3 linked regions of the Rhinolophus ferrumequinum genome follow. The protein of the gene in region 3 interacts with the protein of the main gene of each other region in a pairwise test. Links are inferred from orthologs where the notes say so. Each region holds a gene or a part of one and is shown on either strand. Other genes may lie near its edges.

Region 1 (10,434 bases), on a different chromosome or scaffold from region 3:
CGGAAAGAAATTCCAGAGAACGGGGTGGGAAGGAATTCCTGCCCGGAAACCCTACTGGTATGTATAGTATACATAGCTGACCCTTGAGCAACATGGGTTTGAACTGCTTTGGGTCCATTTAGATGCGGATTTATTTCCATCAACAATTTGAAAAAACTCAGACGAACGACACAGCCTAAAACAGATGACATAAATTTACAGTATCAACAAACAATATAGTACTGTAAGTGTATTTTCTCTTCCTTACGATTTTTTAAATAACATTTCCTTCTCTCTAGCTTACTTTACTGTTCAGAACACAGTATGTAATACATATAACATACAAAAGGTGTTAATCGACTGTTTATGTTATCAGTAAAGCTTCCAGTCAACAGCAGGCTACTAGTAGTTAAGTTTTGGCGGTTATATGAAGATTTTTGACTGAGTGGTGGGTTGGTACCCCTAACCCCCACGTTGTTCAAGGGTCATACCTTTTTGGAGAGTGTTTAACTTTGAGAAGGGAGGAAAAAACATAGGATCAGATAGCTACTAAATATACCAGATAATTTCAATTGTATCTTAAATGTTTCTTAAAAAAATAAAATGGCAAAATTTAGAACTTGACAGAGTTGGCTGAGAGGAATAGGAGTTTGTTATATACCGTACTTTATGATAAAAGTATTTCATAGTTTAACAAGTCACAAGATACATTAATTAAAATTTGTAACTATCTATAGGTATTAGGATTTTTGGTACCATGTAAGCAAAGTATAGAAAAAAATGGCTTTTAAGGCTATCCTTCTCATCCATAACCAAACGTATTTCTAACTTTATTTTTTTTACAAAGATTATAAGAACCTCATTGCGTTCAAGAATTGACTTAATAAATATGTAAATATTACAAATTTGAACATATAAAGTGATGTGTATTATTGAAGTGCTGTCAATATCTATTTTTATATTAGGGTTTCTTATAAAAGCCCCAAGCTACCTCATTGTCGAGTTCTCTGAACACAACACAAACCAAAGACACACCCATACAAGCCTAATTTCACTTGGAAAAGCCTCCTTTTAAGATAAAAGTTCACACTTCAATCCATTGTGTCAGAGATTTTGTAGTGGTAGAATTTGAGCTCAGCTTTGAGGCACAAGTTTATCTTTAAGGAAGGAGATACCAAGGGTGCTGAATAAAGCAAAAGTCTATCAATGAACAGTAAATGGCTGAGGCAGAACCTTGCAAGAACCTGCCGACACTGAATAAAGAGAAAAAAGACATGCAAATATGAACTGGAGTTAGGGAGCAGAACAGACAAGTCATAAAGTCAGGAACCAATGTAGTGAGACTGGAAAAATTGGTACAGCATATAAGGCAATGATATTCCTTTTAACACTAACCACTAAATCTTCCTACTGTGGCTGTGTCCCCCATGTTTCACTTTCCCCATGGAATCACCTAAGAAGGCTGTACGAACTAGGCTCCAAATCAGGAATCCTATACTGCATCCTTTACAATGCGGGGCTCAGGGTGAGTGGCCGGGTAGGTGTGTGTTTTCTTTTTTTTTTTTTTTTTCATCACAGCTTCAAAAGAATTTTATTGAACAAAACAAAAAATAAATCCAGATTTTAAGAACTTCAGTAAATATTTAAAGAGCTCTAATGCTACCATACTAGCATATCAATCGGGGTTTGTAGGTTTCAGCTTTGAACAAAATAGGAACTTGCCACTCTTGCTTATCTCCCAGCCTTCGGCCTGCTTCCATCGGACAAGTCATATACATTCGTCAACTTATGGGTGCCCTTCCCAGACATCTTTACCCACTAGAGCTTTTTCTCCGAGTCTGAGAAAAGGGTTTCTTTCCCATATGAATGATGTCAGAAATACTGCTTGCCCTCTGGTGAGACTCTGCACCCACCAAAGGCACGGTTTCATCTTTAAAGGCTCTTAATTATAAAATGATCATATCATACATATAGTAAGAGATAAGGTTACTTCCTGCAGGGAGAAGTGCTGTTAGAAAAGGGGGTTGGGGGTGGGAGTGGACAGTGTCAACATCTTTACAGAGAAAGTGTCTGCCTGAAGGTCTGTCTTCTCTTGAGGAAAAAAAATGACTGTTTTAAATAAAGGGAACATGGAAAGCATCTTGTGTATTTCTACTACAATATTTATCACACTATATTACAATTATCTTTTTATGTGTGTATGCGTCCTCCTTGAAAGCAGGAATTCAGTCCATTTGTTAAATGTTTGTGTCCCCAGAACTTAACACAATGTCTGAGACACATTCAATGTGTGTCTGTTGAATGAAAGGTGAACAATGATAAAAAAGAAACAATGATAAAAATCTGACTGAATCAAAGAGTAGGGGAAAAGAAAATGACATGGCAAAGGAACGTTCCTGTAGACATCTCAAGTTAAATAATGACTTGCTTGTATTACTTAACTATTTCAAATTAAAAGGAGATTTAAGGTCTGAAAAATGTAATACATAATTTTTCTTCTATGATAAAGGTTTAGGGCCAATTTGAACTCCTTAGTATTTCTTTCTACTTTTTCTATTAATTCCATTCACTTGTCTAAAAGAAGTTACAGACGGGCCTCCATCAAATTTGCTCTTTTACCCTGAAACTGACTTTTGGATTCTGACATCAGTCATAGCAGAGTAAACCAATAAGTTCTTGAAGCTTTGGTTAAAGGCATTGCCCTTGAAGTAATGGACACACAGAAGTATTTTTTGTCAGAACAATAGTGCCTCTTTTACTACAATGGTACTAAATTGTGATCCACTAAACCAGGCAAGGATCTCAGGTGGTTTAGAAAAGCAAAACAGGCACAGCAATTTGGCCTACTTTGATAAGTTTTCAACCAGAAAACAATGGCCTTCTGGGAAAAATTTCCCTTGAAGAGAGTTCCACAGTTTCTAAATTTGAAAATCACTTGTCTTATTCTATTTTGCCCCTTCCGTTTTCTTTCACTAGGACAAAAAGTCTTCACATCAACAATAAAAAGTACAGGTCTCCCTACAACAGAGGAAGACATCATTAGGTGCTCCAAAAGCTGAAGCTGTGAGCCTCAACGCCAGGCTTCCTAGATCCATGCCTGTCACCTGTTTAAACAAACCACCAAGAAAACAAGTCGAATAAAATTATGGAAATACATATTTGAAGCCTACCTCGGATCAAGATATACTTATAAAATTTTGTAGCTCCCTGGGAATGGAAGGGGCTTATAACATAGTACATTTGACTTTTGAACACACTTTTGGGATCACATAAAACAGGGCACTTTCTAGAGTCTTTTCATAATTAGAAACGTAAGTACAAAACCAGATGGCTCACTGCTGTGAAGTTCAGCATTCTGTGTGACTTTGGCAATTTTCAGCCATGCGTTTTTTCATTCCACAAAGTCTCAAAACTCTACCTAAGGTTCCGGTAACTGCTGCTACAAAAATGTTTACTTAGCCAGTTTGTTTTTACTGTTATTCTCATGCCCAAAATGCGTTCTCTTACCCTGCCCATCTTTTTCTCACTCCATAGTCACTGAAACATCAGTGCTCTTACAACCCCAACAAACAAAATACTGGTTGTTCTGGACTGTTTTGAGACCCTGGAGTTTTCCTTTTCACACCCTAGGACAAAACATCGCGTAAGCACTTGGGCCATCCGCCGATAACACTTCCAAGCGTTGTACATAAATCCTGAAGCTGTGCTATCGGGGCTTGGATGCATTTGTATATACACGAGGTGAAACAGGTTTTTCCTACTGAATGGGGGCGAGTCAAGGTCTCTAGCGTTGGGCTGCCCTAGACAGCAGGGTCTTCACTGCTCCGTCATCTCCTAAAGGGGAGGGGAAGGGAGTGCTTAACCAGTTCTACATGGAGCAGGAAGTTTCTATCATCGACTCCGCAATTGCTTAATTACTCTCCAGCAAGCACCAGGTTCTTCTTCCCTATTCCTGCGCTTGGCGAGGGGAATGGCTCCGTTTCGGGGTCCCCAACCTCAGGTGGGTAGGAAGCACTCTCCAGACCGCTAGCGACAAGTCTAAGTTACCCTCCCCGAGGAGGGGCAGCGGCGCCGTCCCCCTTCTCTCCCTTCGGCTTCCCAGTGCCGCGTTGCCGCCGCCCACTTTTTAGCAGGACAAACAGCAGCCCGGGCCCCGGAACCAGCACTTACCCACGTCTTGCTCGAAGGGGTTGGCGGTGAACAGAGGCATCTTGTCGACGCCCGAGCCTTAGTCGCTGAGGTCCGGCTGGGCAGCTGCTCCCGGCTCGGTGACCCCGCGGCCGCGGCTTCCTAGACCGATCGGCTCCGCCCGCGTCCTCGCACTTCCGCCGCCGCGCTTGCCCGACTCCCGCCTGACGGGCCAGCTCCGGGTCCGCGCGCCGCCCCCCCTTCCCCGTCCAGGCGCGAGGTCCCACCAGGTGCGCTTATCCTCTCAGCACCCCTATCGCTGCCTCCCGCCGGGAGAAGGCGGCTGCCCGTGTCCCAGGATTTCATATAGGTCAGGCGTCTGCCGCGGCCACCTTTCCATCGCTAGGACCCCGGCAAGCCACGGAGCGGAGGGGGACCTTCGGGGCGGAAGTTGTCGCGCCCAGTACTGGGCGACGCCAGAAACCCTCTAACAGTGGGGGCGGTGGCGCCGAAGGGACCCCGGTATCCTGAGATTTTCGGCGTGCGACTGCTGGTTGAGACGGCCACGTTCTTGGTCATTTAGTTGGTTCCTAAGCTGCAGGCCGATCCCTGGAGGCGGCCATGGATTCGCGACTCCGTTCGCGTCACAGTTCTGTTGCCCTGGAAACGGATCGAGCCTTGGCCCAGAGGTGGCTTGGAGAGTGGGCAGAGTTGGCTCTTCTCTCAGGAGCTTATAGTTTGCCCTCTCCTTGGTGCCTAAACCCCACTGGAATAACCACTCTGGAAATCGGTGGTCAAAGTTACCTGGGCTCTGTGGGGACTCCTAACTTTCTGCTTTCCATCGTGTTCTCGCCCTGAAAACACTGCTGGACCCTGGGAGTCCAACAAGCAATGAGGCTCCCTTCCTGCCTTCCCTTTATCCAAGGGGGATGCAGTCCAAGACCTGAATGGATACCTGAAACCATGGATAGTACCTATGTTTTTAACTATACATCCCTATAAAAAAATTTAATTTATACGTTAGGCATAGTAAGATTCACAGTAATAATAAAGTTGAACTATAACAATATACTAAAGTTAGGTGAATGCCTTTGGAGCCATTAAGTTAAATAGCTGTTACTGAACACAAGCCCTGTGATAGCACAAGTTGGTCTAAAAACCGAGAGGGCCGCTAAGTGCCTAATGGGGAGCGGTGGCTGCACACAGCTTGGTTGGAGTAGGGTGGCTTGAGATTTCATCGCCATACTCAGAATGGCTCACATTTTAAAACTTACGAATTGTTTATTTCTGGAATTTTCCACTTAATATTTTTGGCCCATGGTTGACCACGGATAATTGAAATCAGGGAAAGCGAAACTGCAGATAAGGGTGGGCTACTGTATATTGGAGTCCCAACTCAAATTCCCATAGGATTCCCGCCAGGTATCTGAATCTAAAAGTGCAAGGGCCCTTCACACCCACTCCCTATCCCTCTTAACCCTGCTTTATTTTTCCATAGCATTTATCACTTCCAAATCTATAATTTACTCACTATGTTTTCTCTCTTTTGAATATAAACTCCATGATCAGTTTTGTTCATTGCTGTATCCCGGACATCTAAAACACTATCCGACAAGTAATACGTGCTTGATAAATACTTTTCAAAGGCAGCCATGACTATCTAACTTAAGCGTGTGTGTCTGAAAATGACAGCCACCAGTAAACTTGAGCCATTTATTGACCTGTGGACCCTACTAGAGCTTTCAATTTGAAAATGATTTTTAAATGTTGGGAATTACTTCAACATTTTAACAATAAGTCAAACAAAACCATTTGACAACCTTTGTTACAAAGATGCGATACATAGAAGAGAGAGTCCTTACACATGGAATAGTTCAGGAAGGTAGTTGCATTTTATGTGATAAAAATAGGTGCACAAATAAGAAAGAAACTTTTGCAGGTGAAAGGAGCTGGTTTGCAAAAAAACACTAAATTTAGGATGTTCAAAATATGTTTGGAGGGGGTGGCCGGTTGCGGGTTCGATCCCCACATGGGCCACTGTGAGCTACGCCCTCCACAACTAGATTGAAACAACTACTTGACTTGGAGCTGATGGGTCCTGGAAGAACATATATATATTTTTGGAGACATTCTGGATGGATTTGTCTAGGATTACGGCTTAGTGTTGGAATGGAAAACAAAGCAAGATAGAGATAAGAGGAAACAGATTGGGAAGAGCCCTAAGAGCAAGCTAATTTTTTAAAAAAATTTACCATATAAGGCACTAGATAATCATTTAAAGATTTAGAGCAGCAGAATAGGTTTCTAAAAAGAGTTTCCAGATATTAATCTGATTCAGGCAGAACAGTTTAGGAGGCTATTGCACTTGATAAAGCCGTAAGAGGAAATATTGTAGAGGAGCTTGTGTTGAGATAAGAGCAAAAGGCTGAGGATTAGCCTTTGGAAAGGAAAGAGACTCCTTTAATTCCTTTCATTTTTAATGGCAAGTGTACTCAAGAATCCATCAGTATTTCCCTTTCTGTGTGTGTACTCAGTCACTCGGTGAGTTCCTCACATTAACAAAATTTTTAGTAGTCACTAAGAGCTGGACCGTGTGTTAGAAACAAGAATATAAAAAATTGCTCATCGCTTAACCTAATGAAGTTGTTGAAAAATTAAAAGATACGTCAGTGGCAACCCACAAATTCTAGTGTGCAATGAAATGCAACTTTTTAATTTTTCTGTCATACAATCTCTTTTGAGCCCGTCTCCCTGAAAACAAAATAATCTTCTCAAATTTAGTTAAATTTAGTCTCTTTAGGGTTTTCTTGGTTATTTTGGGTTTACACTCAACAAATCCTTACCTTAGATTACTTTCCCCAAACATATACCAAGATCCATCCCCAGGTATGTGCTTCTAATTCTGCCAGTACCTATTTGGGGAAAAACCGTTTTTATTCCAAAATAGGGGCAGTGCTTCCCCAGTCAGGCCATGATGAAACTTGACCCTAGATACTGGTCTTCAAACACTGCAGATGGTTTTGGCAAATCTTGAGAAGAGAAAGTTGCATTTTGGGAAGCATCTTCCACAGGTGAGACTTCTGCATGATATTCAGGCAAAGGGAGGCCACAGTCCTCTAGCAAGGACAAGGGCACCACTTCTGTTGGTCCAGAGGATTGAAGCAAATCCTCAAACTTCTCAAGAGGATCCACCCAGATATTCCCATCCTAGGTCTCAGGGTCCCATTCTTTCCTTTTCAGACCCCTGAGTTTAGTGTAGGAGACATGCTATGTGTTATGTCTTCCTTATTCAACCCTCCTTTAAATTCTGCTACTCTCACAATCAAGTCCTGAGTCTGATTTTTTTTTTTAAACCACAATCTGTCTCTCTGGATACAGTCAATAAAGTTTGTTCTCTCTTATTTTCCACTTTGTCTTTCAGTTTGGATAATTTCTCTCTCTCTTTAAGATGAGTAGTATGTTATTTTTCATGAATTTCCAAAGCATTTGGTTTGAGTGGTTTTCTTCCAAATAAATTCTTTATTTTGAGATAACTTTAGATTTATAAAAAAGTTACACAGATAGTACAGAGAGCTCTAAATTACCCCTCACCCTGGTTCTCCCATGGTTAACAGCTTACATTTCCTCAGTACATTTGTCAAAACTAAGAAACATACATCAGTTTATTGTTATTAACTAAACTCAAGACTTTATTTAGATTTTAACAGTGTTTACATTAATGTCCTCTTTTTTTCTTTCAGGAACCAATCGAGGTGTATCGGGGTCCTCAAGACCACTCCCAGATTCAGTGATTCAGTAGGACTCATTGAACTCAGCATCCAGTCTCCTCGTACTATGATTTATTACAATGAAAGGCAACAAAACAAACTCAGCCAAGGGAAATGGCATGTAGGGGAAGTGGAGGCACAAGCTTCCACGAGTCCTCTCTCAGTGGAGTCATACAGGACATGTTTGATTCCTCCAGAAATGAGTTGTGACAACACATGTGAAACGTCCACTAGGCTCTGGCAAAACCCTAGTGAGTTAGGCTCTGGTAGAATTGTTTCTCTCGAGGTCAGGCCTCATTAAAAACAGAATGGTCTGGGCTCATTTCAGAATGGACACTTTTCCCTTCCCCCTGCCAGAAGCACAAGGGGATTTTCTCTGATCTTCACTGTGGGAACTTGGTAGGGCTCCTGGGAGTAAAACTCACAAAAATGTGGGGTTTCTCTATTACTGGGACCCCCTGAAGTTTTTTAACCCTCAGACTTGTCCACTGAGCTTCAGCAATTTGTGAATTACAGTTTACGTTTTCTTACCCCGGAGCTGGTTCCTATGAGGGTTTCTCCTTCAGTAAATTGTGATTCTCTATGTCTGCTTGTCTGTCTTTCCAGTTTTGTGGCAGCTGTTTGCCCTGTGACCTCAGTTCTCTGAGACCTTAGTTCTCTAAAAAAAGTTGTTAATTTTATTTCTTGTTGTGTGGGCAGGAGTGATGATTGCTAAGCTCCTTAGATCCTGGACCAGAAACCAGAAGTTGGCTCTCTTTTCCTCTTTTCTATCATAGGTACCACATGTTTTAGACCAACATACTAGAAACCTTGGAATAAGCTCTAACTCTGCTCCTAGTTTTTTCAACTTTTTTAAACCTAATTTTTTTCATGTCTTTCTTCAAACTCTCTTTTTGTTGTTCTCCCTTCCTCCCTTCCCCTTGGCATCACCTCCGTTATCCCAGATTATTGTTTCTTCCATGCCTTCCAATTCTTCCCCCTGAAAAGAGGCACTCAGTGTAGGGGGTGAGAAGGAGCTTGGGTCTACATGCTCTGTTAACTGAGTCGTGAGTCCACAAGGCTGCATCTCTCCTAGAGAGAGCCTTTCACTTCTGAAGACACCACGTACGCTAGACTAGCCCTACACTCAAAACTAAGCTACTGATCCTGAAACACCGCCTTTGTGGTTTTGTTGCCTTACTCAAGAACCGGGATTTTGCCTGCCACAGAAAGTTCAGTCTGGGATGTCATTGTCTCTGGTAAATAACTCATTCTCCCTACCCAGTAACCTTATTTTTCTTGGCTTAAGGCATCAGTTTTTGACGTCAGATGAAATTTCAAATTACAGCCCTGCCACTGACTATGTGACTTTAGGAAAATACTTAAGTTCTAGGAACCTCAGTTTTCTGATCTGGAAGTATATACGTAGTAAGTTTGCTATCAAGATTAAATGGGACACGAGAGCTTTTCATATAGTAAATGCTCAGTAGCGCTTATTCTAGCACTTACGAAAGAACTTCTTGCAATGATGGATGTGCTTTATATTTGCACTGTTCAATAAAATCGCCACTAGCCACCTGAAATGTGGCTAGAGCACCTGAAGAACTGGATTTTAAATTTCATTTCTTCTTAATTAATTTAAACTTAAATAACCACATGTGACTAGTGGCGAGCATATTAGACAGAGCAGCACTAGACAACATTGTGAAAATCAGTTGGAGGAGAAAATGAAGTGTCTTTTGTCTGTATTGTGCTTTATATTTCACTTTCCAAACATGCATGCTTTCTTCTTCCACCTGCCTTCATCTTTTACCTCTTTTATTTTTCACATCTGGAAATTTAAGATCTAGTTCAACACCCATCTTCTTCAGAAGCTTTCCTCAGTTGGTCCCAATCCACATGCCTTCCAATTCTCCGAAACTTTTCTGAACAAGTGGTCAACATTGCATGACTTAGCACTTATTATTCCTCTAACCTAACTTTTGTGATTGTTGTAACTCCCCACGAGTACAAATAAGGATCTGTGTGGTTTTTAAATTCTGTGCCCCTCACAAGTATTTAGTCCATTAATTAGAATATTGTAAACATTACATTATGGACTGAATATTTGTGTCCCCCCAAAATTCATATGTTGAAATATAACTCCCAATGTGGTAATAGTTGGAGGTCGGGCCATTGGGAGGTAATTAGGTCATGAGAATGGAGCTCTCATTAATGAGATTAGTGCCTTTATAAGAAGAGGTGAGTGGGCCAGCCCGGTGGCTCAGGTGGTTAGAGCTCCGTGCTCCTAACTCCGAAGGCTGCCGGTTCGATTCCCACATGGGCCAGTGGGCTCTCAACCACAAGGTTGCCAGTTCAATTCCTCCCCCAAGAGATGGTGGGCCCCACCCCCTGCAACTAAGATTGAACACGGAACCTTGAGCTGAGCTGCCGCTGAGCTCCTGGATGGCTCAGTTGGTTGGAGCGCGTCCTCTCAACCATAAGGTTGCCGGTGGGCTGTGCCCCCTGCAATTAGAAAACAGCAACTGGAGCTAAGCTGCACCCTCCACAACTAAGACGGAAAGAACAACTTGAAGCTGAA
Region 2 (10,265 bases), on a different chromosome or scaffold from region 3:
GGGACAAAGTATGTTCAGTTCTTGCATTAGCCAAACACAGACTGTCCTTTGGGGGGAAAAGGAAGGACTTGGATGAGCTGTACTCCTTAGGCATCTGGCCATGCTCTTTATCCACCCCCCTGGCAAATCACTATTCATCAGTCACAAAGGAATTTGCTCCACAGTAACTGCACTTGCTGGAAATAAAAGGAGAGAGTGGACCTTCATTTCCTGACTACTCTGATTCTGCTAAGAGGCAGGAGCTCTTTGCAATGGATCTGCAAAGAGCAAAATGACCTCATCTTCAAGAAAACTCAGGAGGCTCTGCTGAACCTGCAGCAGAATAAATGGGTGTCTCTACTTCAATCATAACTCAAAACATTTCCAGTTTCCTCTGAAAGGATGTTTCTACCTCTCATTCACAGGGCCTGAGGATAATATGTCAAATGATTATGAAGAGCTTCTGCTGAGAGGGCAAGACAGAAGGGAACGCGCTGGCTCGCTCCTTCCAGGGTGCAGGAGGGCCTCGGGACCTCCCCGAGTCTGGCCCTGCCCCACACCTGGTATGACCACCACCCTGCCAGGCTCTATCCCTCCCCATGCCACCCCCATATTCACACTCCCAGAAGCCAGGCACCGGGGAGTTTCACCAAGAAGGAAAAAGGAGGCTCAGATAACGTCTCTGGCAGGTGGATGTTAAGCAGGTGCCGTGAGGGATTCCGGGGCCTACATGCAGGCTACTGTATTCTAAGTCCCAGTATGCAACCCCTCTTCCCCCGAAAATGGGAGCCCCGTTACTCAGTGGCTCCCAAATGCCAGTCTGGTATATTCAAGAATCATCGAGGAAGCTTTTTTGACTTAAAGATTTCTGCACCCTACCCTGAGTGATTTGGATTCAACATGGGGGTGGGGGGGGCGCAGCTGGCAATCTGTGTTCTTAAAAGGCTTCCCTGGAGACTGCCACGCTTGGGAATCTGTGCTGGTGACCTCCAAGATCTGGAGACCTAGAACAGCCCGGGTTCCTAGAGGGAGGAGGGTCTCCCTCAGGTCCCAGAGGGCTTTGCGAGGGAGCAGCACAGCGCCACACTCCCAAGTAGCTGGTGTCTGTTTATTCTGTGAGGAGAGCCCCAAGGGGTGGCTGCACGGGCACTGTGTGCATCTACTGACTCCAAAGCGAATGCCAACCTTTCTGACAGGGAAGGGACTGGCATGAACTTGCCAGGAGATTAATGGGAAGCCCACGTGTGCAGAAAATCGATACCCAGGAAGACTGCAGGTGGGGAGGTTCGCTTGGAGTGGAGCTGGAGAAAGCCCAGTGTCTCTGCTTCCAGCAGTCCCTGTGCCTCTGCACTGAAGGGCAAGACACTTGCTTTCACTTTCCCCCTCTGTGACAATGTGGGGAGTCACTCTAACCACTTCAGGGGAATGTGAGAGGATCAACTGTGAGAGGACAGAGTGTAAGACTAAACAAAACACAAAGTTCTGGTCTTTTCTTCTTCTTTCCATGAAAGCCATTCCTTTACCAGCAAGGTTGTTCTGTAAATACCAGGAGCTATCTTCCCCAAAGAGGGCTTTCTTTACTATTCACCCTCAATGAACAGTTCTTTACTGATTGACAGCACCTCCTCTTGAAGGTAAGGATGCTTGGAGGATCCTCTTAGCTCCTCCAAACAGCCCTTTGTTTTGTGCCAGGGCCCTTTTCTCATTACGCATTACGAAACCAATTTCTAATATAAAGTAATACTGAAGGATTTTCCATTGTATTTAGTCTGGAGTAAGGTGTAATTCATATAAGAGAAACTGAATTAGTCACCGAGATGTTCTGTGTATATCAAAGCATAGGTTTGAAAGCAATGAACCCTTTAGCTCTTGTAATACCGAAGAGCTAATTAAGTGAATGTTAGTTTTCTCCTTATGTGTTGATACCAGGCTGACAAATCTCAAATAATTAATTTGGTACAGAGAACTTGTTTTCTTGAGTTGATCACATCCAGCCATCACCATCCAAGTAATCATAGCACAGAAATCAGCCATCTAATACTTGGGGGTATTGGGAGGACACAAAAAAAATCAAAGTATTCAGCCTGTACACTTCACGGTTTCATAAAAATTCAAGACATTTCTACCTTCTTCTGAATAGATACACTGCCTCTTCTTAGGACTTACTGCTGTGTTTATCTCTTTGCTATTAGTATTAGTTGAGTGATCTTTGGAAACACACTTGAATTCTCAGGGTTTCTTTCTCAGTAAAATAAAAGAGGCTGAGCTAAAAGATCTTTAAGGACCTTTCAACTTTAAAATTCTGACTTGAATTTTCAAATCCACTTTCCCAACATCAGAATTCTGATTTTAGTAGCTCTTATTTTCTATTTGTTGAGAATAGTAACTCAACCTGGTTTTTTCTACCCTTAAAAAGCTTTATGAAACCACAGCCTAACCCATCCACCAGAAGGGTGCACAAAGGTCTCAACTTGCTGGGTCAGTTTCCTGATGAAAACAAAGTGCTGGCAATCTGGATCTCATACTGCACTCCCAGTGGATACGTTCAAACTTGACCTTCACTCACAACAAAGGGTGCCAGAAGATTCTGACGGTCCCTGTCTTTATAGGAAGGAAGCCTCAAAATAATTGGGTTTTTTTAGCCACACTAAAGATCATATTCACACAGACTGGAGCAACAGGGCTGGTTTGAAACGAGCATTAGTTTCACCCACTAATGGGCTGAACAAACACACAAAAAGTATATATAATTATGCCTCTTGTACTAATTACAGCCTCTTGTACTAATTTTCAGAAATAAATATACCATTAATTTCTTATAAATGTTAAGTTGCTGAATGTACAATGTCTGGTTGGGAACCAGAGGTTTATCAATATTTTAAAGAAAAAAGTGCATAAAAATGAAGGTGGATAACATAAATCTTTCTTCAAAAATAACGACTTATAAAGCATTCTTGATTTTGTGAATTTTTACATCTTCAAAATACCTTACCAGCTCTTTACAGCTTTTATTTTCATTTTGCCCAAACGGCATTAACAGTTACCCTTTACCTATTTCTTTTTTCCATGCTTTTTATTTTGGAAAAGATCAAACTTATAGATAATTGCAAGAATAACACAATTACATTTTTACATATTAACAGACTCGTTTCAAATTTTTATTTTCAAATTTTCACGTTCCTAAGCGTTAAATATAATCCTTACATACATGCAAATGAAGCATACTTCTGCTATACTCACAAAAGTATTATCGCCCAGTTATTTGTTTATTAAAAACAAGTCCTAGACGTTTTAATACCATGACAAGGAAGGGAATGTATGCCATTTAAAAAAATTTCTCTTTCTCGCCAGTGTGAGGCAACGTCCTAAGGCGATGGCCAACTATGAGACAGTCTAACATCTTTAGTTTAGAAATTGCCTGGGAGAAGAGCATCTTGTTTTTAACAAGTCATACTAGAATAGATTCTCATAAAAAAACTGTTTCAAACAATACAATTTAAATTCCAAATATAAAATGGACAAAAATAGGAAAGTATTTACATCAGTCTCCTGAGTCATCCTGTGCCTGAGGTAGGCGAGTCAAGTCAAGATACCCCTCAGCCACGTTGAGGAACCAGAGGTAAAATTCCTAAGAGACCACCCACCACCCAGGCTTGCGAGTGGCCCCTGGCGTCCGCCCAAGTGAGATCCGCTGAGAGAAACCAGCATCTCTGCCCCGGAAGCCCCGCGGCGTTGGGGCCTGGCCCGGCCTGGGGAGCTGACCAGAACGGCCGCCCCTCGTGGATCCCGGGCCAGCTCCAGCCACCGCGCCCTCAGCCCCAGGTCCCCTCGAATCGAGCCGGTGAACGGGACCTGGCGCCACCGCTCGGGTCGCACTTCCCGGGCCGACCCCCAGAAACCCCATGCGGCCGAAGGAGCACAGCCCCTCCGAAACCTCCCCCTCACCCCCACGCCTGTCAAGGGCGGGACCGAAGACCGGGGAGCTGGTGCGGCCCAGAGGTCCGTGCGCCCCAGGTGGCCTTCACCGACCTCGGGAGCTGGGGCGCTGGCAGGCTGCGGCCAGCGGGCACTCGGCGCCTCGCGTCCCTGCAGCCCGGCCCAGGTCAGCCGCCTCCGCCCGGCCCTGCTCTTCCATTCGTCGAGCTAAGGGGTCTGGCTCACCTTGGGGCCCTCGGGGGGCACGCGCGGGTCGTTCCACGTCGTGGTGCGGCTGTTGTGGTCCACGAAGAAGGGCCAGCCTGTCTGCGGGTCGACCTTGATTTCCCAGCCGGGGGGCAGGGGATCTCGGTCGCCGGCGCCGTTGCCGGACGCCATCTGCACTATGGGCGAGTGGGTAGCAGCGCTCATGCTGGGTCGCGGTGGGCCCGGAGGGGAGGCCGCCGGGGTGCCGGGTCGCGGGGTGCTGGGTCACGGGGTGCGAGGCCTCCAGGCGCCGAGTCGCTGGCGGGCCGCGGCCGGAGCTCGAACTGTGCGCGCCGCCGACGTGTCCGGGAAGCCGGCGCCGGGCACCTTTATGAATTAAAGGAGGGGGTGACGTGGCCTGAGAGGGGTGGAAGTGTCTGGAAATAGCCTCCTCGCTGCCAAAGGGGAAGGAGGAGATAAAGGGAGGTAGCAACTGGCCGGCTAGAAACTTCTGGTCCCATCCAGAGAAGTTGGCGGCGGCGCGGGTTGGAAGCGGAGCTCCGCCCTGAGTCATCCGCTATAATCGTGGCGGGCGGGGCGGGGCGGGGGCGGGGCCTCGGCCCGGCCGCCCCTCCTCCACTCCCTCCAGCTCCTCCCTCGCCCAGCTGCCCTGAGGTGGGCAGTGGTTCCCCTGCGGGATCCGCCTGCGGCCGGTTTCGGTTTTCAGACTCGCTCCCTCTTCTTGGAGCTGCGTGGGTATTTCCGGGACTGGCAGTCCGGGCGCGGAGTGCCTGCTGCGGCTCCTTGGTATAAAAACAAAGTCGTCGTTAGCCTTTGAAGTCGCTGGTTTTAAGCTAGAGTTTCGCCCACCCGCTACCTCCTATACTCCCCCTTATACTGATACTCGGGACACTGCGTCACTCAGTTACGTTTTAATCACCTTGCTTCATGGCCTTAAGAGCTCTGGAATGTTGATCTGAGACTACAACCAAGCCATGGAGAAAATGGAAGTGCGAATGGAAATTCACCTGCCTGCATTTTGAAACTTAAAGAAGAATGAAAGGTTGCATCAGCCCATGGTTTTATGCTCCTGAACCTCTTCTATTAAATATAGAAACTATTATTGCAGTAAACAACTGTAAAGAAAAATCACGTTCTTTTGGGTTTTGGTCTTTCTTTTTTTTTTTTTTTTTTTTTTTTTTTTTTTTTTTTTTTAAACTGCACAGCGACATTTATTGTTTCAGCCTGGAAAAACATCCCTTTTTTTTTAAATTTCACACAGCAAAGCAAGTTAAAAACTTCACTCATCAAATAAATGATAATTTAAACAAGAACTTGCTAAAGAAACCTCATCACAACAACATTTTAGGGCCTGATCACTTTAAGTCCATGGGCCATTAATGAATATCAACCAAGTGTCTCTTTTATAATCTGCAAGCCGTTTTTCCTACAAGGTGTAACATGTTTCCTTGCCTCAGGTGATACATTTAGAAAATAACTCGTGATTTTTTTCTTTTGCTGTAACAGGCAGACACTGCATTTCTTGGTGTGATCAGGAAAGATGGAACGACTGCTGCCCTTCTCTTGCTGCTATCAACAGTTTTTCCCGCATTATATCAATGTTTGAATAGTCCGGCAACTTCAGATAGTTCACACAAGTCATTACGGAGGGCAGAAAGTCATCCGGGTTTTCTGTTGACTCAAATGTCTTCCGGACAATTGTCAAAGGTGGATTCAAACTCCGGAAGCCTCCAACAGGCAATCTTGGGCTACCTGTCACAAACTGCAGAAATAACCTCTGCTGCTCATTATCAAAACTACTGAGAATCTCAAACAAAAACTTCACAGCCCGACTGTCGTGAGTGTAACCGTGATCTGGCCTGCAGCATTCCATCAGTGTCTTTGCATCCCAAGTGTCTGCCTTACTGCCACACAAGAGCTGGTCCAGTTCTTCTGGGTAGAAGTACTGAAGATGACTGAGTGGGAAGACGGATTCAAATCCATCTCTGAATGAATCAAATTGCCTGGAAACGCCTTCATTTAGTGCCCAGAATATAACCAGTCTCAAATACTCCTCGAGATTGTGGATTGTGACTGGTATATCCTTTCCTCCTTTCTTCAGTTCGATGTTGGGAAACCCTGGCAGAGTAAAATCCAATCCTAGATCTTCAACTGAACAGCCATTCATAGTCAGGGTTTCTAATGCATATCGTAGACTCTCTTTGGTCTGGGATTTATCTTGTTCAAGTCTTTTCTTCTGTCTGACAATGTCTTCTAGGTGATACACTGATCTGGCTACAACTGGGTCAATGTCAAACAAATCGTGCGATGTCAGTGACGTTTCTTGCCGTAGCATCCATTTATAAAAAGGTAAGCCAAGGGGAAGGTCCACCAATCGGAAATCCATGATAGCCTTGGCCATTAATTTTCCTAAGAAGCGAAACTTCATCTTAACCTTTGCGATATGAGCTGGCTTAGCTGTCCTACCAAAAGGAAGCGCGAACAGGCCCTGGAGGTTTTGAATATACTTGGTCCCTTCTTGGTTTCCTTTTGGATTGCTAAGAGTTACTTCTTCACCTCTCCAGAGACCCAAGTCAGCTCTCTGCAGTTCCTGAGATACAAGTGCATAAAACTCCAGTGTAGGCCCAAGACCTGTACCAACCTCATTTTCATACTGGATTTCTAACATGGCCCGTGAGCTGCCCAGATCCTGCATCACAGACTCAGCTTGTTTTAGCAGCTCCTCTCTGTTCACAGTTCGTTTTTTTCTATCCAATCTAGGTGCAACTCTGCTATCTTGAGAATCAGACTGGTTGATTTCTGGGTTGGTATCAAGTAATCTTTGCATTGCTCGGTCCCGATCAAATGCAGTTACATAAAAAAGCATTTGCCGGGTATCAAAAGGGAAGAAAAATGGGCAGGTTTTTCCTAGTTCAGTAAGCCACGTCGGGATGTTTCCTGTCATGATCACTAAAGGGTCTTGAAGCTGCCTATTTGCTTTTGCTGTCAACTTACTGTTAATAAATTCACTAGTTGGAATAACCTCCTTGCACATTGCATTATCATACAAGTAATACCAGTATCGACTGATGGCATGTAAAACTCTTAAAAGAAGAATCACATCTAACGACGGGTCTTCAAAAGTTATATTTTCAGGTGGTGTGGGTATGAGGTAAACTTCTAAAGGATTTGATACTGATGGGCACACTCCATCGTGCCATAACTCATCATGCTTTTTTGCATTTCTAGGAGAAGTTTTTGTTGGAGCTGTTTGGGCTCTTCCTCTTTTACCACCAACACAATCTTTATTACTTTCTTCATCCTCTCTCACCGGTTTGTACCTTGGTTTTGGTCTTTCTTAATGGTAGAGGTTGGTTCTTGCTATATTAAATCTTGACCTTTATTTGGAAAGTAAGGACCAAATCAAAATCAGGAAAAATGTTTGTTTAGTTGATTCAATGGTGGGTGCACTTGTAACCTCAACCAAGCACCCCAGTTCCTCTAAGGGAGAGAGAATGTGCCCCCAAAGGGAGAATGTTTGGAAGGTTCCATTTTAGATCTTTCGGTATGCAGACGCCTCATCCGCAAAAACGTTTTGAGAAGTTGCCTTGGACTATTGGGCCCAACTTTTTAACTCAAATTCTGAGAATACCCTGGAACCCTCAGAGACAACACCTCTTGTCTCTTTCTGCCCTCACATTACTCCTTTTGGAGCAAATGCTAGAGATGCCTTCAGATCATTTCCAATTTAATGATTCCCACTTATGTAGGTCTACTCATCAGCTCTGAAGTCCAAAAGCTCAGTTTTGGGAAAACATAGAGGAGATTAAACCCTAGAGACTGACTCAGGGTCACCAAACACACACGAGGCTGCTATATAAACCCAAACACCAGTGCATTAATTTATCACAAGAAATATGACTATAGAAGGAGGTAGACCCTCACGTTCAAGTTGGTCAATGTGTCTTATTCTTCCTTATATCTAAGGCCCTGAGCACAAGGCTGGGCCCAGAGTCCATATTCAGTAAACACTGGGGGTGCCAAAAGATTGCTGTATACAAGTGGGCACTTTGGTCAACGTTGCTCAAGCGTAGCTCGCCCTAATCAGAGGTGTCTGGACACTGATGGTAACCACTTTGAGTATCTCTTGTAATTGCAGAAGTCAAATGTAACTTGTATTCATCTTTTGTTATTGGTATATATTGAGTATTACAATTTTAATAGTTTTTTCCTTTCTTAAAATGTGTATACATTATTTTGGCACCCTTCGTCTTGATGTTTATTGAAGATTGAATCCAAAGTGAATTTTTATTTCTATCTTCTTCCTTTGCTTAATTTGCTTTCCACTACAACTACAGTGTAAATACTGAGAGCATTCTTTGCTGGATTCCCCCCCCCCCCCAGATAAAAGCAGGGAGGAAGCAGGTTCCTCTTGGATTAGCATAGCTCCTTCTGAGAGTCATGCTTCCTTAGGGCTCCACATGTTTGTCTAAAATGTAGCCATAAGCCATGGAGAGCTGCCTGGAAGAAGCTCCTTTGAAGCATGCTGAATAACGAGGAGTATATCTGTCCTTGGTGGGTTTTTTTCTCTCTAAGTCTTAGGACACTTGTTTCCCAGGTGCTATAGAATGAATGTTTGTGCCCTTCCCCCAAAAAAATTCATGTGTTGAAAGCTGTTCCCCAAAGTGATGCTATTTGGAGCTGGGGCCTTTGGGAGGTAATTAGGTCTTGAGGGCAGAGCCCTCAAGAATGGGAGTAGTGCTCTTATTTTAAAAAGACCCCAGAAAGCTCACTAGCCCATTCCACCACGTGAGGACACAGCAAGAAAACAGCCATCTGTGAACTGGGATACAGGGCCCCCAGAAGACACCAAATTCGCTGATTCCTTGGTCTTGGACTTTCCAGCCCCCAGAACCGTGAGAAATACATTTCTCATGTTTATAAGCCACTCAGTCTATGGCATTCTATTACAGCAACCCAATTGGACTAATACACCAGGCCTTTTGGAGTTCGTTTTCCTACATCAGAAGCTTAAACATGACCTTGGATTCCCCTTTCTGTCTTATCATCCAGTCTTCTCCAAGCCTGTAAATTCTGCTTCTTCAATATTCTTCGACTCTGTGCACTCTTCTCTTTCTTCAGTGCCACCAGCCTGGTCCAAATCACCCTGATCTCTCATCTGGACCCTGGCAACAGCTCCTAATCTTGTCCATAGCCAATCCATTGCCGACATGGCAGCTGGGTGACGTTTTCAAGCACAAGTGGGCCACGTCCTTTCTCTGGTTAGAATGCTTTAATGGCTCCCCACTGCTGTCTCTATTTCCAAATCCACACTCCTCAGCCTGGTATACACGAGGCCCTTCCCTTTCCCTGGTGCATACTCCACGCTGGCCCTGCTGAACTATATTATGCTCACATTGTGCTTTCTCTCGTCTTCACACACTGCTTCCTCCACCATCTCCCCCACCCCCAATGCCTCCCATTGCCTGGCTGACTCCTGTTCATCTCCAAGGATCACTTTTCACATCACTCTCCTTCACCTTCCTACTCTAGGTCATATATCCCTTCTAGATGCTCCCGTACAAACCCTGGGCCACCCTATCAAGGGCACGGCATTGCAATGGCTTGTTTGGTGGTCTCATTTGCTTATATATTGAGTTTCTTGAGGACAGGAGAAGAATCTTGATGCCACTGTGTCCCTAGCCTCTGTCACAGTGCCTGGTAACTAACAGTTATAAAAACAACAACAATCATAATGGCTACCACTTATTAAGCATTTACTGCATGCTAGGTACTGCCTTGTGGGCTTTATTTGGATTATCTCATTTAATCTTTGTGGTGGAGGCTGTGATCCCCTTTCAGGATTGAAGGATTTATCCTCCCAGATGCTGGCAACACTGCAGGAAGACCAATCTCAGCTGTCCTTTGGGGATTGGCTTAGCTGAGAAAAACTGTTTTGGCCGAGGTCACACCTCCTAGTTTTAGGGGAACCTGCATTCAGTGACTGACCTACCAAGGGGCATAAGGGCCCTGCGCTTTGGGTCCAACTCAGGACAGGACTCCCTTGCTCTTCCAGCTCCAGAGCGCCCTCTGGGGTTGGCTGCTGCTTTCTTTGGGACTGCATGGCAGCTCAGCTCCCCCACCACACACAGACACACACCGTT
Region 3 (10,287 bases):
TCGTATAACACAGATTCACAAAACATGGCATTTTTAGGAAACTAGCCACCATATTATACGGGGGTTACCTGTATATCTCGGTAAAGCTCTTATTTTTTTCAAAAAATTATGCAGTCTTCAAGTCTTAATTTTTAAGCTTTTTTCATAAAAACCTTAGTTTAGCTCTCTTTAAATCAGTTGTAATGTGCTAGTAAGTCCCTTTCTTTTAACTATTAAGCCACCTTTCTTTTAGAAATACATACAAAAATATTTAATGGCTGAAATTATGATATCCAGGCTTTACCTTAAAATAATCCAGTGGGTGTTAAGAAGGAGGGGTAGATGTGGGTATAAAGTGGCCATGTGTTGGCAGCTACTAAAGCTGGGTGACAGAAAAATGGAGGTTCATTATACTATTCTTTTTACATTTGTTGTGATTTTAAAATTTCATAATAAAAGATTAAAAGTGGAGAGGGATTCTTAAGACTTCCTGGTCACTTCCATGCTGTCTCTCTATTGTTTATACTCTCTTTTTAAAAATATACACATATTAAAACATTAACACACGAAATGACGTGATGTCTGAGATTTGCTTCAAAATGATATGGGAATTTAATCTGACAAATGGCTTAGGGAGCATGATGGAACTATTAGGTTGGTGCAAAAGTAACTGCGGTTTAAAAGGTTAAAAATATTTGCAAAAACCGTAATTACTTTTGCACTAACCTAATAATTCCTCCCCTGCCTGGAATACCCATCGTCCTAGAGTTATCAGAACACACACAGCCAGCAGCAGAGCCAGGAAGAGGTCCAGATGAAACAACAGTTGGAGCTGGGTGAGGATACATGAGGGTTCATTGTGCAATGTTATAATAAATTTAAATTCTTCCATAATGCAGAGTTAAAAAAAATAACCAACATCTCTCTCACATCCATAAATGCAGGTATTTATACTGGTGAGACTTTTTTCCTAAAATACCTAGAACGTCGTCATGATGCCTAATGCCATCCTCAAATCCTATTTAGTTGTTCTGGAGACGCAGTGTCTGCTGGTTCTGTTGTCACTTTGCAAATTCCAAGGTCAACCTCAGAAACAAGCCACGAAAAATAAGAATAACGAACAGCTGTAAGTTTGCATATAGAGCTGGGGGGCAGGCTGTGAAAAATGTATCTATAGAAGAAAACTTAGTTCCAAATAATTGATTCTTTCCCTGCTCTGGCTTGCTGGGTCCTGGAGACAAGGACACACCCAGCCAGCAGGTTGGGGGGGGAAAGGGCAAGGGAGGGGATGAACAGCCAACTTCTTCTTCTAGCTGATGGCCTTTTTTTTTTGGTTTAATACTTCATCAACTCCAACTCTGGCTTGATTGACATCTGAGTCAACGTACCTCTGAAATAAATCACAATAGTACACTGATTTGGGGTTTTAATTTTAGAAGGGAAAAAATAGTTTTCAGTAATCCTAAATAGCTACCTTTGAGAAGACAAGAGATTATGATTTTACAAAGAGCAAATTCATAAAAACGTATGCGAGATTCACTTCCGACCCATAATATTTAGAGGAATAAAATGCACCAACCATTTGGCTGAATTTAGTCTGACAAATGGACTAGGGAGCATAATGGATCTAATCCCCACCCAGTCAAGAAGACCCCTCCTCCTGGAGTTTTAAAGAACACTCAGGGAGGTCAACAGGAGACCCCAAGGGTAGGGCCAAGAGCGTGGGACTTCTTTTACATGATTCACAGACTGTGGACTCCAGATACCAAAGCATAAGTTGTACCACAGTAAGATCATCTAGCATCAAAGCATTTCCAAAGAGAGCTAATTGCCATCACTTTAAGGATAAAATGTCAGGCCACACTTGAGGTACTTGATGTTCTTTTCAAACAATTACTTTGGGTTCAATTAATTCTCCCTATATTCTTAAAATTTGGTCTTGAATCTGGGTGTGTGTGGACCTACAAAAGGACAGTTTTTATGCATTCAGAATATATATTCATTACAGCTCTTCATCAAAACTATAGGCACGTTTAGATTTTGTTAGTCCATAAAAAGGTCATTTACTTTAAACTACTCATCTTCCACGATCTTCCCCAAAACACCTGTTTCCAAGTCTCTCCACTAGAGACAAACCTCAAGAGGATGGATGCCTTAGAAGCTGTGAAATTGTTATGAAGCTGGGGATGAGTAGCCACCCAGTGGCTAGAGGTGCTGGGGGCCGCATGCAGCCTTTCTTGGAGGCCAGGCACCTTTGCTGCATATCAGCTTTTCCTGTTGGAAGAGGCAGGGCCAGGTCCCTGAGTGGGGCAGACATCTCCAGCTAGCTGTCCCAGCTCCTTTGGCTTTGGAGAGATCTTGCATAATGATGGTTCAGGTTCTGAAGAATTAAATTCTGTTCAGCAGCCTGTGTAGCTCCAGGAACCAAGTGGGGGCTTACGGCCCGGTTCCATTCACCAGGTACAACCAGGAGTTTACACACACCCTGTCATTACCTCCTGAACTCAGCCCTAAATAGAGTGGAGCCATCCTACACCAGATACATTTCACATTTACAATGTGTTGTAAGCTGGAAGAAAACAAGTGATGTGCCTCTGTCAAACTGTCACTTCACCCCTCCTACAAATACACCTGTTATGTGCCAGGCACTGTCCATACATCAGTGAACTAAACATCAAAATCCCTGCCCTCCCCTCGCGGACATTGCCAGGGAAGTATTAATACTCAGTGGCTAAAAGTTCAATCATTTTCCTCCCACTTTTCTGACACCCAGCCCCATTCTTCCAATCTTCGAAAGTGCTAGGGACCTGCTATATTCTATTAGCTTGACAAAGACAACAAAATCGTTTAGCCTGTGGGGAACAGACACTGCCAGGTGCAACCCAATTCACCCCTGAATTTCACTCTCTTTAAGCCTTTTTTTCCCAAAAACTTCAACTGTGCTCCCCCACCTGCAGCCTTGCAAGCCCAATCATGGCACAGTGGAGGGGACCGGCCAGAGCCCCCGGCTCCCTGGGTGGGCCCCGCCGAAGCGAGCTGTACGCGCGAGGCACTCACCGAGGAGCCAGCCCAGAACGGGCACGAGTTCTTCACCTGCGGGGAGCTGCTCAGCGACAGCGCCCCGAAGCTGAGTGCCACCATGCAGCAACCCAGGATCAGCTGCAGCAGCCCGAGCGACAACAGCGGGCGAGCCGGCAGCAGCGCAGAGCCTGGGGCCGCGGCGGCGGCGGCGGCGGCGGCGGCCCGGCGGGAGGAGAGCCCGGGCGGCGCCGCTAGTACCGCGGCGGCCGTGGCGGAGCACCGAGGCCGCACTGGGGGCGGCAGCGCGGCCCGGGGCCAGCGGGGCCGCAGCGGGGGCAGCGGCGGCTCCTGGGCAGCAGCGGCCGCGGCGCCCGGGCCCCCGGCCTGGGGCCCGCCCGAGAGCCCGGCCACCGGGCAGCAGGAGCCCGGGAGCACCACGGGCAGGGACATGGACGGGCGGGGAAGGGAGCGGCCGGTGGCAGCAGGGAGGGGACGCGGAGCGGAGTCGCGGGCGCCACGCACTGGGCACCGCGGGCGGGCTCCGAGGCCAAGGGGGAGGGAAGGAAATGCGCACGGCCCAACCACTTGCTGCTGTTGCCGCCGCCGCCGCCACCGCCGCCCCGGCTCCCGCCGGCCGCACCCACCTGCCACCGGGCGGGTCCGCCTCCGGCCTGCCCCGAGCGCACCCTCACTCTCACCCACACACACCCACGCGCGCCCTGCGCTCGCGCCGCGGGGCTGCTGCAGCCTTTGGGTCACAGCCGAACCCGCGTCCGCTTCCTGGCGTCCAGGAAGGGTGCCCAGCCCCAATTTTTTAAATAGGTCCCTCGAGCTAGGAGGGACGCCGCGGTCAGCGCACATTGGAGCTAGCGGCTGACAACCTAAGAGTCTGTCCCCCACCCGCCGAGCTGGGGATGGACAGCAGCGCAGGAGAAGCGCGGTGGTCCCTCGCCCCCTTCTGGTCCAGCACAGAGAGGGACTCTGGTAACCTATAATGCGAAGGGAGGTCGGCTTTAAACTCCCTCACCCCCACCCCGGCCGCCGGGAGGTGGGATGGCAGGAGGAGGGGCTTTGGGTGACTCGGTGGGAAAAGTCTAAGCCGCAGGGCTTCGGGGAAGGACCAAGCAGAGCGGAATCACCTGCGCCTGGGCTGACATTGCGCTGCGGCCCTGCCTCCTGGAAATGGGAGGGGAGTGGCGGAGGTGCTTTCCCGAACCACGGTAGGGGTGAGTGTGAACAAGACATTACCTTGGAAGTATCCAGAATCCAGAAAGGAAGAACTGGGGGCGGCCCCATTCGCGTGGCTAAGGTTACACTCTGTGTCCACATCACCTTGACTCATGAGCTATTTTCGGCATCACCTGGTACAACATAGAATCCTAATTTTCCAAAGAAATATCCTAATAAAATCCCAACCTATTTTTGGTTACTTATAAGACATATTTAGAGCTACTAAAAAAGAAAAAAGAGGATGATTCACCTTTGCAAAATGATTTCCTCTAATAGTATACACTTCCCTCGGAAGAATTCTTAATGTGTTAGAAGTGTTCTTATAGGTAAAACAATGATAGTAGATTTTTTTTCCAGGTTAAGAACCAGAGAAGTGTCGTTTTCCAGTAAGTCAGTTTCAGTGTTAGCTCGTTTTCTCAGAAGGTGAGGGTATGTAACATCCTCCTGCCCAATAAACCAAGGGAGATGTCTATCTAGTTCTATGCCCTGCTTACAAAGGCTGTGTTTATTTTGGTCATTACTCACACTTCAACCCACAATGGGATGCATTGCCAACGTGCGTGTTGGTTTACATGTACACTTTCTGGATTATTAAAGCACCAGTGATTAGTAATCCTTCTTTTACAAACTTCAAATCCTCCTTGGAAACAAACTTCAAATTCTGGAGAAAAGGAGATCTGTCTTTTAAAGTAAATGCAATTTAAAAACACCTTACAGTACATGTTCTTAAATTGCATGTAACGGTAAATTAAAAGCTGCTTATACGCTGAGTTTATTATACCTTTTATTTTATACACAAGCTCACAGGTATTTAATGTTTAAGATTCTACTACACCGTGCAATATAAAAAGTCTGAGTCTTGAGAAATCCTATCAGCTTAACGAATCTATTCCACTGGTCAATCCTTAACACTTGAAATTTACTATTAAAAATGTCGTCTTTGTGTCTAGGAATGTTGGTGTTCGAAATCAGATAGCCTCCTTCCCTTTGGATGGTTAATGACTAGAAAGTAGGAGTTCCAGGGGAGCTGATAACCATCTGTTGTTTGTTGCTGTGGGTACTACTTAAACAGGTGAGGTTCATTTTGAGAAAATTCATAGAGTTACACATTGTGCATGCCTTTGTATTTTATGCTTAAATACTTTAAAGTATATCTCAGTTCTTTACCCTTAAATTTTTTGTCTGTTTCCCTACATAGAAACAGCTGATAGCAGAGGTAATTAAAATCTATTGATAGTTTTATCCAATAGCTTTACTTATATTTTTCAGGCCACTAAACCTTTTCCAAAGCTGCTAATTAAGAGTTGTTGCACTGTAGTTTTCTTTTCTTTTTTTATTATTGGCCTCATTCATAGCTGTGGGTTTCATTTTCTGCTTATCATAAATACAAATCCATGTAACATTGCCCCAACCTTTAAGGTTATACCAAATAACATTCTTGAGTATTTGAGCTTTGGATTTTTGGATTTTGTAACCCAAGCTTAATTCTTCATATCCTCCAAACACTTGCTTACGTACAATAAATCCTTCGTTACACCTGATTAAGCTGAACTGTATGTAACTAAGCACCCATAGGGTGAGTCAGAGCCATTGATTTCATATTGGTTAAAAAAAATAAAATGAGGAGTTTAGAAAACTGTTTTGCAAGTCCTCAAAAAGTTAAACACAGAGTTATCATTGGACCTAGTAATTTCACTCCTAGATATATATATAACCAAGAGAAATGAAAACATATGTCCACACAAAAACTGATACACAAACAGCATTACTCACAATAGCCAAAATGTAGGAGCAATCCAAGGGTGGATGAATGGATAAACAAATGTGGTAATCCATACAATGGAATATTTTTGGCAATAAAAAGGAATGAAATATTGATACATGCTAAAACATGAACAAACCTTGAAAATGTGCTAATGCTAAACAAAATAAGTCAGACGGAAAAGGACAAGAACCATATGATTTCACTCATATATGAGATATAAAATGGAAACAACAAATAAACAAAACAAACTCCTAGACACAGACAACAGTATTGTGGTTACCAGAGGGGAAGGAGGGTAGGAGGAGGTTGAAAAGGGTAAAGGGGGTCAAATACATGTTGTCGGAAGGATACCCAAATACATTGGGTGTTGAACACACAATGCAATATACTGATGATGTATTATAGAATTGTACACTTGAAATTTATATAATGTTATTAGCCAATGTCACCCCAATAAATTTACTTTAATAAAGAAAATATTATGCTAAGTGAAAGAAGCCAGTCACAAAATACCACATATTACCGTGTTTCCCCCAAAATAAGACCGAGTCTTATATTAAGTTTGGCTCCAAAAAACTCATTAAAGCTTATGTTCAGGGGATGTCCTCCTGAAAAATCACGCTAGGGCTTATTTTCCGATTAGGTCTTATTTTCGGGGAAACATGGTATATGATTCCATTTATATGAAATCTCCAGAATAGACAAATCAACAGAAACAGAAAATAGGTTAACGGTTGCTTATGGATGAAGGGTGGGAAGATTAAATGGGGAGAAGGTGATTGCTAAAGGATATGGGGTTACTTTTGGAGGTGATAAAATGTTCTAAAATCAATTGTGATGATTGCACAACTGTGAATATACTAAAAACCATTGAATTATACACTTTAAATGGGTGTATTGTATCTCAATAAAGATTCATGTGATTTATATCTGAATAAAGCCCTCACCCAAAAAGTTTTTAAAAAGTAATGAAGAACATATGGAAAAATGTTCTTTTTTCCCAGACATTTCATTAATATAGGTGAAAGTTCAAGGAAACTGTAGTTATTGTTCCATGGAAGCAAGCTGCTAGCTTTCCTCAAGATCAAAGCCGAAATCCAAGGAGAAATTTCCACCAACTCTTCCCTTCTCTGTACCTCATTTTTTACTGTCTGCAATCAAAGCCTTTACTTCTTAGGAGTTTAGGCTCTTTCGCTAAGGTTTCACTAGTCACCATTAAACTCCTCAGTGCCTCCCACCCTTTCTCAGAAGACCCAACCTGGCAGCTAATTACAGGAGGTTATTCCCTGGTAGAGTGGGAGCTGCTGCTGAAACTCCTTAAAACACGTTCCCTGGCAACCTGCCTCCAGTGCTTCAATTTAAGAAAGAGAAGAGTTTCTCTGAGTAAGGCACAGTGGACTTTAGACATCCTCAATTCATATGGTAGCTCTGGAACGGCTTCTCAAAGTATGGTCCACGGAGCACAGAACCACTCAGAGAGCAGGTCAAAATGCAGCTGCACGGGTTTCCCCCACACCTGCAGGATCTGACACTCTAGATGGAGGCCTGGGAACCTGCATTTTAACAAATGCCCCAAACCATTCGTGGATGAAACTACTCATACTCCAGAATTTTCATACGGGAATTTTTATGTGGCAGGGGACTAGAGGGAGCAAATTCGCTGGAAGGGGAAGGCAGAGGATTTGATTGAAAACAAAGTTAGATGTAAATATGCTGGGAGTAGGGATTTTGCTGGTCCTCAACCAGGCACTGCTGCCCAGGTGATTTTTATGTACAGGAAGGATTTAGATCACTGGCTTCTAATGGAAAGGGCACCACATATTAGGAGCCAGACATCCTGGGCTGTTGCCCCTCCTCTCCTCAGGATCTTGAGCCGGTTCCAAGCATCTCTGGCCTCACTTGCTGCATCTGTCAAATGCAAGTTTGTGATGCTTCATCTGCCTGAGGCTGGACCATGCCATCCTTTGGACTCCCCAAGACCTGCAGTTTTGAAGTTCAGCCATTCTCATTGCCATGGTTTCTCAGATGACCAGCAAGAGAGCAGGAACCAAGAACAGCAGGTGAATTGGGGTGTGGAATCATTACTTACAGACCCCAAAAACTGAAAACTTAGGCCTCAGGTTCCGTGGCTTCATGGGTTTCCATGAGGGACAATGTTGTATGAAGATTGTGTTGCGGTGATGATGAAGTGGGAACTTCAATGAAAACATTTCACTTTGCAGAGAAAGTAATATAGGAAAGGGGCCTGAGCACTATTTTTACAGAAGAAGCCAGGAGGTTGTATTCCAAACCAGCTGATTACATGCTCCAAGACACACCACTCAGGCAGACGTTTATCAATCGTACAGAACAAACCATCCAAAGGCTTTATTAAGCAAAGAATCCGTTCCTATAGGTAAGCCCACTGCAAATAAAATACAGGTTGTGGCTTACAAAGGTTAAAGGTAAGCCTGCCCCTATTTTTCTTGCATCTTACAGAAGTTGCAGATAAACTTACTCTTGTTCTTTTTTCCTCCTTTCCCCCCATACCAATAAATTTTCCATGGAAACAGAAAACACATATAATCCCTAGCCTGGGAGATGGAGGAGTCTCTCTTCCATTCGTGATTAGAGACCATCACTCTGTCTGTGGGGTGGTCTTTCCTCTTTTTCTTACTTACTCTCAGCTAAATACATTTATTTTCACTTTAAACTTTATATCGGCTCATGTTGGAATTCTTTCTATGTGAAACCAAGAACCTTCTTAGTCCAGAGTTTGAGTCCCCACTCTGAGGGGGGATTCAACCCAAATCTGGCGTCAAAAGGACTGTGGCACTTTTTTTTTTAATTAAGAGAGAGAATGGAAGAAAGCAATCCTGAGCAGAGCTGGCCAAATTAGGCATTCCATTATTTCTGAAATAATAGTGCAGACTGGTTATTAAGGATTTTTAATGCCGTTGGCCCCCAAACAGACTTACTTGTTAAACAGAAGAGCTGCACCCATACTTTTTTCATTGTTGAAATTAAATACTGAAAATGTCTTATAACACAAATCCCGCAAAAACAAGTCAGCTGCCCTAAAAAGTATTTATGGCTTGTACATTTCTAGGGGAGATAAGCTAAGCACATATATACCGTGTATCCCTGAAAATAAGACTGGGCCTTAAATTCATTTTTGCTCCAAAAGACGCATTAGGACTTATGTTCAGGGGATGGCCTCCTGAAAAATCATGCTAGGGCTTATTTTCCGGTTAGGTTTTATTTTCGAGGAAATGCGGTAGTAAAGGATGTCTTATAAGTGTGTGAGAGTGTGTGAGTGTGTTTGTGTGTGTGAGAAAGAAACCTCCTAATAGCAGACCTTTCTGCAGGATCGAGTTTCTGTAGAAGTCAAAGCTATAATTCACCTATGAGCAGAGACCATTCCTTTGTTCTGGGGCAATCCCTTGAGCAGCCTTGTAGTGGGGCCAATGTGAAGCCTAGACCCTTGGGAAACAAAGATGTCTAAGAAAAAGCTGTAGGATAAAAGAGGCTGTCTTTGCCTGGTCTGAGAGGAGCTGCATATCCTCCTCCACTAAGGTACACTTGGTCTAGGGTACTGGTCAGACTCAGCAGGAGAACTTTCAAAAATATGTACAATTTCTAAGGCCCTAGTTGCAGAGATACTGACTTATGAGGTCTGCAGAGGGGTGAGGCACATGCAGATATATTTAATAAAAGCTCCCCAGAGGTTGGAGATGTCCTCAAAAGCTATGTCTCAGAGACCAATAAACCTTTCTGCGTGTGTGTGTGTGTGTGTGTGTGTGTGTGTGTATGTTTCTATGTGTTCTTCTTTCCAGTGACTATTCTTAGAAGAAAGGACCGTAGGCCCCCAAAGATAGTCCAAGGATGGGCATTCCTGCTCTTGAAGCTGGAAGAGAGACAATGAGAGGAACCTGCTTTGCGCTGAGCCCTGCCCCTGTAAACTGAGCTATTGATGTCCTCATAATTGCATTTTTGTAAGACTAACTCTAACCTTGGGGAATGTACAAATTCATGGATTTAAAATGTCATCGCCATTGACCCACTGAAGATTACAAAGCCACCTAAGGAGAGAGAGGTGCAGTCTACCCTGAAAGGAGAGGTGACAACTGCTGCCAGCCATCCTGTGACAGTTCCAGGTCATTGCCAGGACAGGAAATGAGAACTGAGGAAAGTGGAGTTTAGGATGTAGGAAGGGAGGCAACGCCTTGCTTTCTCTGAGCCTCCGGCTAAAGTAGGTAGTAGTGGTTTTGATGCTCAGGTTTTGTTATTAGGCTTTGTGTACATTATTTCTA

Evidence for each region.
Region 1: the proteins of ENTREP1 (region 3) and STAM2 interact in a two-hybrid assay, tested with the Homo sapiens proteins (2 studies listed by BioGRID and IntAct). The two-hybrid records come from large-scale screens. The link is inferred for Rhinolophus ferrumequinum from reciprocal best matches to the Homo sapiens genes ENTREP1 and STAM2.
Region 2: the proteins of ENTREP1 (region 3) and BAG3 interact in a two-hybrid assay, tested with the Homo sapiens proteins (2 studies listed by BioGRID and IntAct). The link is inferred for Rhinolophus ferrumequinum from reciprocal best matches to the Homo sapiens genes ENTREP1 and BAG3.

What each region holds. Positions count from the first base shown.
Region 1 is NC_046291.1:68,373,241-68,383,674, reverse strand, and holds the start of STAM2 (signal transducing adapter molecule 2), read right to left. Parts: upstream 4,305-10,434; 5' UTR 4,190-4,304; coding exon 4,150-4,189; intron 1-4,149.
Region 2 is NC_046299.1:9,805,018-9,815,282, forward strand, and holds the start of BAG3 (BAG family molecular chaperone regulator 3), read right to left. Parts: upstream 4,670-10,265; 5' UTR 4,327-4,669; coding exon 4,141-4,326; intron 1-4,140. Other genes in the region: E3 ubiquitin-protein ligase TRIP12-like, read right to left, coding at 5,654-7,156. UniProt on the Homo sapiens protein: Co-chaperone and adapter protein that connects different classes of molecular chaperones including heat shock proteins 70 (HSP70s), e.g. HSPA1A/HSP70 or HSPA8/HSC70, and small heat shock proteins (sHSPs), e.g. HSPB8.
Region 3 is NC_046295.1:36,159,627-36,169,913, reverse strand, and holds the start of ENTREP1 (endosomal transmembrane epsin interactor 1), read right to left. Parts: upstream 3,948-10,287; 5' UTR 3,862-3,947; coding exon 3,037-3,861; intron 1-3,036. UniProt on the Homo sapiens protein: Functions as an activator of the E3 ubiquitin protein ligase ITCH in the ubiquitination of the CXCL12-activated CXCR4 receptor. Thereby, triggers CXCR4 endocytosis and desensitization, negatively regulating the CXCL12/CXCR4 signaling pathway.